2 linked regions of the Saccharomyces cerevisiae S288C genome follow. The gene in region 1 interacts genetically with each later gene. Each region holds a gene or a part of one and is shown on either strand. Other genes may lie near its edges. The genes, in order: IMH1 and GIP2.

Region 1 (3,930 bases):
TAAACAACTCCGACGATTTTAAAGATGCTTGTGAAAAGTATGTCGAGATTTCTAATCTTGCGTGTATTATTGTTGATCAATTGATTGAAGAAAGAGAAAATTTGCTGAACTACGCAGCAAGAATGATGAAGAATAATTTGACTGCAGAACTATTGAAAGGTGAGCAAGAAAAATGGTTTGATATTTATTCCGAGGACTATAGTGATGACGATTCAGAAAATGATGAAGCTATCATCGATGACGAATTAGGATCTGAGGACTATATTGAACGCAAAGCTGCGAACATAGAGAAAAACCTTCCATGGTTTTTAACTTCAGATTATGAAACTAGTCTTGTCTATGACTCAAGAGGAAAAATTCGTGGCGGGACAAAAGAGGCACTGATTGAACATTTAACCAGTCATGAACTTGTTGATGCGGCTTTCAATGTTACAATGTTAATAACTTTCAGAAGTATATTAACCACAAGAGAGTTTTTTTATGCCCTGATTTACAGGTACAACTTGTATCCTCCTGAAGGGCTGAGTTACGATGATTACAATATTTGGATAGAAAAAAAGTCAAACCCGATTAAATGCCGTGTGGTCAACATTATGAGAACATTTTTGACGCAGTATTGGACAAGAAATTATTATGAACCTGGCATACCACTGATTCTAAATTTTGCCAAGATGGTTGTATCGGAGAAAATACCGGGGGCAGAGGATCTTTTGCAAAAGATAAATGAAAAACTGATAAATGAGAATGAGAAAGAACCAGTGGATCCTAAGCAACAAGATTCGGTATCGGCAGTCGTACAGACAACTAAACGTGACAATAAATCACCGATACACATGTCTTCGTCTTCTTTACCATCTTCTGCTTCTTCAGCGTTTTTTAGATTGAAGAAATTGAAGCTCTTGGATATTGACCCATACACATATGCCACACAATTGACTGTACTTGAACATGACTTATACCTCAGGATCACTATGTTTGAATGCTTGGATAGGGCATGGGGTACCAAGTATTGTAATATGGGTGGTTCTCCGAACATTACGAAATTTATAGCTAATGCTAATACGCTAACTAATTTTGTTTCTCATACCATTGTAAAACAGGCAGATGTCAAGACACGTTCAAAATTAACGCAATATTTTGTTACCGTTGCCCAGCATTGTAAAGAGTTGAATAATTTTTCTTCAATGACTGCCATAGTGTCCGCTTTGTATTCCTCCCCAATCTACCGACTGAAAAAGACATGGGATTTAGTTTCCACTGAGTCGAAGGACCTTCTGAAGAACCTAAACAACCTTATGGATTCCAAGAGAAATTTTGTGAAGTATAGAGAGCTGTTGCGATCCGTGACGGACGTTGCATGTGTTCCCTTTTTTGGTGTATACCTATCTGATTTAACATTTACGTTTGTCGGAAACCCAGATTTTCTTCACAATTCAACCAACATAATAAACTTCAGCAAGAGGACTAAAATCGCAAATATAGTGGAGGAAATTATAAGCTTTAAAAGATTCCATTACAAGCTGAAACGATTGGATGATATTCAGACCGTTATAGAAGCGTCTTTGGAAAATGTCCCCCACATTGAAAAGCAGTATCAATTATCACTGCAAGTGGAACCGAGATCAGGAAACACCAAAGGCAGTACGCATGCTTCTTCTGCTAGCGGTACAAAAACTGCAAAATTCCTAAGTGAATTTACAGATGATAAAAATGGCAATTTTTTGAAGCTAGGTAAGAAAAAACCTCCTTCTAGGTTATTTCGATAAAAGTTTATACAATTTGCTAATCAAGAAGAACCTTAGCTTTATGTTTGATTGCTACACTCTATTATTTAAGATGGCTGCTTTTACTTAATATTCTTCGTGATAATACTGTACTGGTGGAGTGTTTTTCGTTTTCGAGGATTTGAGAGTACGCTTCATTTGCAGTTCTTCTTGATAAAGTTCGTTTTATATATATATATCTATTTTATATCTTTATATATTTTATTACACCCAGTTAAGTTATCGATCCAAGATTTTAAATGCCCGATTAGAGGAAACTTATTACCTGAAAAAATATCAATTAGTGATTCTATGAAAAGCTATTACCCGCATTCTCATAGTTCGGATTTTCAGATCCAGCAATATAAGAGAACCAAATGTAGCAGAAACGTCAAATAGTAAGCAACAGGAGTTACATTTGAGGTGATTTTAACTTAGGGAAACATTTGCTGATTCAATGTTCAAACAGCTGTCACAAATTGGTAAGAATCTTACCGATGAATTAGCGAAGGGCTTAGCCGATGATATGAGCCCTACCCCGTCAGAACAACAAATCGAAGATGATAAGAGTGGCTTGCCAAAAGAAATACAAGCTAAATTAAGAAAATTTGAGAAATATGAACAAAAATACCCTTTGCTACTCTCCGCATACAAAAATGAAAAATTAAAGTCAGAGAAGTTAGAGGCTGTTGAAAAGATTTTAGCGGAAAATACACCCATATCTAATATTGACGACGCAGTGGATACGTTGCCAGCTTTTTTCCAGGATTTAAACAACAAAAATAACCTATTGAATGATGAGATCAAGAGATTAACTAAGCAGAACTCGGAAATTCCAGAAAGCGCCTCTAGTGAAACTCTGAAGGATAAAGAAGAGGAATTTTTGAAAAAAGAGCAAAATTATAAAAATGACATAGACGATCTAAAAAAAAAAATGGAAGCTTTAAACATAGAATTGGATACTGTACAAAAAGAAAAAAATGATACTGTTTCAGGTTTGAGAGAAAAAATAGTTGCACTGGAAAATATACTAAAGGAAGAAAGGGAGGCCAAAAAACAGAAAGAAGAAGTATCTATATCCGAACTGAAGGAAGAATTGGCTATAAAGAACCATTCTCTCGAGGACAGTCGAATGAAGATAACCGAATTGGAGCAAAATTTGTCTTCGAAAAGTACTATAATGGAGGAAAAGTCCTCAGAGTTGGCAGAACTAAATATTACTTTAAAAGAGAAAGAGCGCAAGCTGAGTGAATTGGAAAAAAAAATGAAGGAGTTACCGAAGGCGATATCTCATCAAAATGTAGGAAACAATAACAGAAGGAAAAAGAATAGAAACAAGGGAAAGAAAAATAAGGGAGGCATAACTACGGGTGATATCAGTGAAGAGGAAACGGTCGATAACTCAATCAATACTGAAGAATATGATAAGCTTAAAGAAAATTTGCAAGAATTACAAGAAAAATATAAAGATTGTGAAGATTGGAAGCAAAAGTATGAAGATATAGAAGCAGAACTAAAAGATGCTAAAGAATTGGAAAACTCACAGCTCGAAAAATCAGCAAAGGAGCTGGAAACCCTTAACACCGAGTTGATCGATACCAAGAAGTCATTGAAAGAAAAAAATTCGGAGCTAGAGGAGGTGAGAGATATGCTGAGGACTGTAGGCAATGAGCTTGTGGACGCAAAAGATGAGATTAAAGAGTCTTCGAGTAAACAAAATGAAGAAGTGAAAACCGTTAAGCTGGAGCTCGATGATTTACGCCATAAAAATGCAACGATGATCGAGGCCTACGAAGCTAAAAATACTGAGTTGAGAAGTAAGATAGAGTTATTGAGCAAGAAAGTAGAGCATCTGAAGAATTTATGTACAGAAAAGGAGAAAGAGCAGACTACATCGCAGAACAAGGTAGCCAAATTAAATGAGGAGATATCTCAACTTACCTACGAAAAATCAAACATAACAAAGGAGCTTACTTCTTTAAGAACCTCTTATAAACAAAAGGAAAAAACTGTGAGTTACTTGGAGGAACAAGTTAAACAATTTAGTGAGCAAAAGGACGTGGCTGAAAAATCCACAGAACAGCTGAGAAAAGATCATGCTAAAATTTCTAACAGATTAGACTTATTAAAAAAGGAAAATGAGACACTGCATAATGATATCGCAAAG
Region 2 (3,930 bases), on another chromosome or scaffold:
GCACTAAGCACAAGCTTACCTGTAGCGTTGGTCTTTCTGCCCGCTGCAGATATTCCAACTTTTGTTGGTGAAGGTAAATGTGATCTTGGTATAACTGGTGTTGACCAAGTTCGTGAATCTAACGTCGACGTAGACTTAGCAATCGATTTGCAATTTGGTAACTGTAAATTGCAGGTACAAGTCCCCGTAAATGGCGAGTATAAAAAGCCAGAACAGTTAATTGGCAAAACCATTGTTACCAGTTTCGTGAAACTTGCTGAAAAATACTTTGCCGATTTGGAAGGTACTACTGTTGAAAAAATGACCACAAGGATAAAGTTTGTCAGTGGTTCCGTGGAGGCATCATGTGCTCTGGGAATTGGTGATGCTATTGTAGATCTTGTAGAGAGTGGTGAGACAATGAGGGCAGCAGGTTTAGTTGATATTGCCACCGTCCTAAGCACAAGTGCCTACCTAATAGAATCAAAGAACCCAAAGAGCGATAAGAGTTTGATTGCTACTATCAAATCAAGAATTGAAGGTGTCATGACCGCTCAAAGGTTCGTTTCATGTATTTATAACGCACCTGAAGACAAGCTGCCTGAACTGTTGAAGGTGACGCCTGGCCGTAGAGCACCAACCATTTCCAAAATTGACGATGAAGGATGGGTTGCTGTTAGTTCCATGATTGAGAGAAAAACGAAGGGTGTTGTTTTAGATGAATTGAAAAGACTCGGCGCATCTGATATCATGGTTTTCGAAATTTCTAATTGTCGTGTATAAGATAGAACAGAAAAAGGGAAGCCAAATCCCGATTAATTTTGTATTTTTTATAGGCAATAATTTGATAGAGTTCTATCTTATTCTAAGTTACCCCTCATGACTTCCCAAGTGTGTTTTGAGGTTATCTCTGTGAATATTTTTTCTTTTTTTTTGCTACTTCCCCAGGAAGTTAAATCTTCGTAGCATATTTGTCAGCTTTACTACCGTCTTCATGCTCATGAAACCTTCTTCTTCAACCCCCTTCATTTCTCCAATTTTCGAAAACTGGAGCTACCCATAAATATTCGGAGTTTTGTAGGTATTTTTATTTTGGAGAAAACCTGTACAAACTCTCCCCAGGGAGCATAGATTGGGGATCGTAACGCATAAAGCTGTCTAGAATGCATTTTTCCATGCTACGTCGATTTTTTGCCCGGAAGAGGCTGACGTAGCGCTGGAAGGTACCGACAACTATGCCTATTGTGGAGATGGGCGGCAAACTCCTGTCGCAGAGTGGGGGCGGGGAAAGGTTCTTTTTGCCGTGGAATGAAGCGCATAAAAGAAAAACAGTATGCCATATTAAGTCTTTTTAAGGGGAAAGGGGCTGCTACCATGAGGTCTTTTACCAAAAATGTGTATCAGCTACGCTTCTCAATGAAGGGGCCAAGAAGTTCGTTCTATCCAACAGGAAATATTTCGATATTGCAACGGTCTTTCTATATCTTGCATATTCTTCTTCAGGTTGAGTTCCTTTATATATACTGCATTGCGTAATAAGCAACACAGGGCCCATCCGTTCAACAGAAGAAAACTAAAGCTTTTCAAACATAGCCTTTCCAGTTCAGTGCATATTTATAGAAGGTAAACCTGCATACAATACGGTTAAAACAATAGGAACGAAAAGAAAGCTAGACGGGAAAGCAGTTACTAAAGGCAGGGTTGACGGGACGTTTAAAGAGAGAAGTCTGGTTTATAAAACCTTTTAGTAGTAAAAAAGGAAAAGAAACAAGGAAGGTTGGCATTCTGTTTGATTGAGGAGAAAGGAACCACATTGGACTTTTTTTTTTCTTTCTGTAAGGTATAGTTTTTAGTAGGCTGAACATCAAAAAGATCTCCGTTGTACTCAGAAACAAGTTTAATAGGAACGGGTACAGATATCTTGTCAAAATTTTATTCTTACAGCCCAAGTTTATTAGGATTTCATCAACGCAACAATGTATATAAAGGCAGAACAGAAACCCCAACAGTTTGAGAGGAAGAATGAAAAACTAGACAGAAATAAAAACCAGCAGCTACCAGATCTTGAAACAGATTTCAAGGGTTACAGAGTGAATTCGGACCTATACAACAAAGAACGAGATGGAAGTACGGAAGAGACTTTAAACTCTTTGAAGTTTTTACATAAACCTCAGAGAGTAACTCAAATGAGAGCGAACAGGTTCCCAGAGGAAGAAGTGCAAAGAAACACTGATTTAAACAAAAGAATTTTCTCCGCAGGGAATGATGAAAACGTTGATAATGAGAGCGGCTGGTCAAAAATTGCCGCTGCCAAGAATCACACTTCCGTAGAATCATTAAATGGCAGTACGAGACCCCCATTCAAAATAGAGCTGCCTCCCCTTTCCCCCAAATCCACCGTACCAAAATCTTTTCAAGCAGAATATCCCGAAGCTAAGTCACCTGGCAATGATATGAATTTTGAATATGATGAAGAAATTCTAATTCCATTTGCGCCACCTGTATATAAAAAGTCAGGTGAACTATTGAAGAGCTCATTGAAGAGAAGATCAAAATCATTACCTACAACCCCAGGTATAAGGAGCGGGAATGGTGTCCAAGCAAGAGACGGTAGTCCGATGTTGATTAGGAGTAAGAGTGTTCACTTTGATCAGGCGGCACCTGTAAAATATTTTGCTGAGGATGAAAGCCCTATAAACGTTAATAAAACTGAACAACACGATAATTGTCTAAGCTTTAAGCATAAGCCAGTGAATTTAATGGTGGACCCGGAAGAAGAGACAAAAATGCTATCATCTGGATTAGAAACGACATCCATAGATGATGACTTGACGACAGTTGCGCCAAAAGGCTTCGCACATCCTGCTAAAATTTCGAATCCAAACAATGGTAAAGGCACCAACAATACAAAATTAAGAAAAAGTAAAAGATTTCAGAACCTCCTAAAGAACAGGACCGACATGCCACCATCAAAATCAAATAAAAAATTCGTTAATGGTGGCGGTGCTCATGAAATTTCAGATCGTAATTCAAAAAATTACCATGTTGTTGGATTATACAGCAAGAACTTCCCCATTTTAAGCAACAAGAATCCTAAAAGTTTAAAGCTGAACATTTTTATCAATTTATCACAAAATAAGAAAGTTTTTCTACAAGAATTGTCATTATACATCCATAGAGACAACAATTACTTTTCAAATTCCTCCTCATTTTATAATATTCCCAATAGCCACAATGGTAATGACTGTAATGGTGTGGCCAAGGGTTATAACGCTGGCTGTACAAGATTAATTGCTGGAAGGATACTAGTGAAAAACATTTTCTATGATAAAAGAGTGGTGGTACGATATACGTGGGATAGTTGGAGAACAACACATGAAGTGGAATGCGTTTACATCAGTGATGGCGATGGAATATTGCCGGGCACTAACATGGACATTTTCCACTTCATTATCGATGATGTCAGCAAAGTGGATCCTCGCGGCAAGTTAGAATTTTGCATTCATTATTCTACACGTAACGACTATGAGCGCGAAGAGTACTGGGACAACAACAACGGGAATAATTATAAGGTGGATGTTGTAATGGATGGCTTTAACGATCCCTTCGCGGCGGCAGCATGAAGGCAACCAGAAGGAAGGAGATGAAGAATGGACATAAAAAGCAAAATGACTTGCTAGATCTTGGCCTGAGTTACTCTCATGATTGGGACCGAACTCCGATAAATAACTCTAAAACATGCTAGAATATTTCAAGTAAATATACATAAATCACAAATAAGCAAATAAACAGATAAATATCTCACAAGAAATCGGGAGCCGATCTTCGATGTGTGTGGGCGTATATACAAATGTGCATTCGGCACGTAAAAGACTGGTAAAGGCTACCGTCCTTCAGTGAGCATTTTTTACATTCATTCAACGCTATACAGCTCTTACTGTGCGACGGAAA

The links.
Region 2: mutations in IMH1 (region 1) and GIP2 together harm fitness more than expected from each alone (negative genetic interaction), as found in Saccharomyces cerevisiae (one large-scale study listed by BioGRID).

Annotation. Positions count from the first base shown.
Region 1 is NC_001144.5:750,060-753,989, reverse strand, and holds the start of IMH1 (Imh1p), read left to right. Parts: upstream 1-2,220; coding exon 2,221-3,930. Other genes in the region: Ras family guanine nucleotide exchange factor CDC25, read left to right, coding at 1-1,766. UniProt on the Saccharomyces cerevisiae protein: Involved in vesicular transport between an endosomal compartment and the Golgi apparatus.
Region 2 is NC_001137.3:261,724-265,653, reverse strand, and holds GIP2 (Gip2p), read left to right. Parts: upstream 1-1,955; coding exon 1,956-3,602; downstream 3,603-3,930. Other genes in the region: HIS1 (ATP phosphoribosyltransferase), read left to right, coding at 1-762.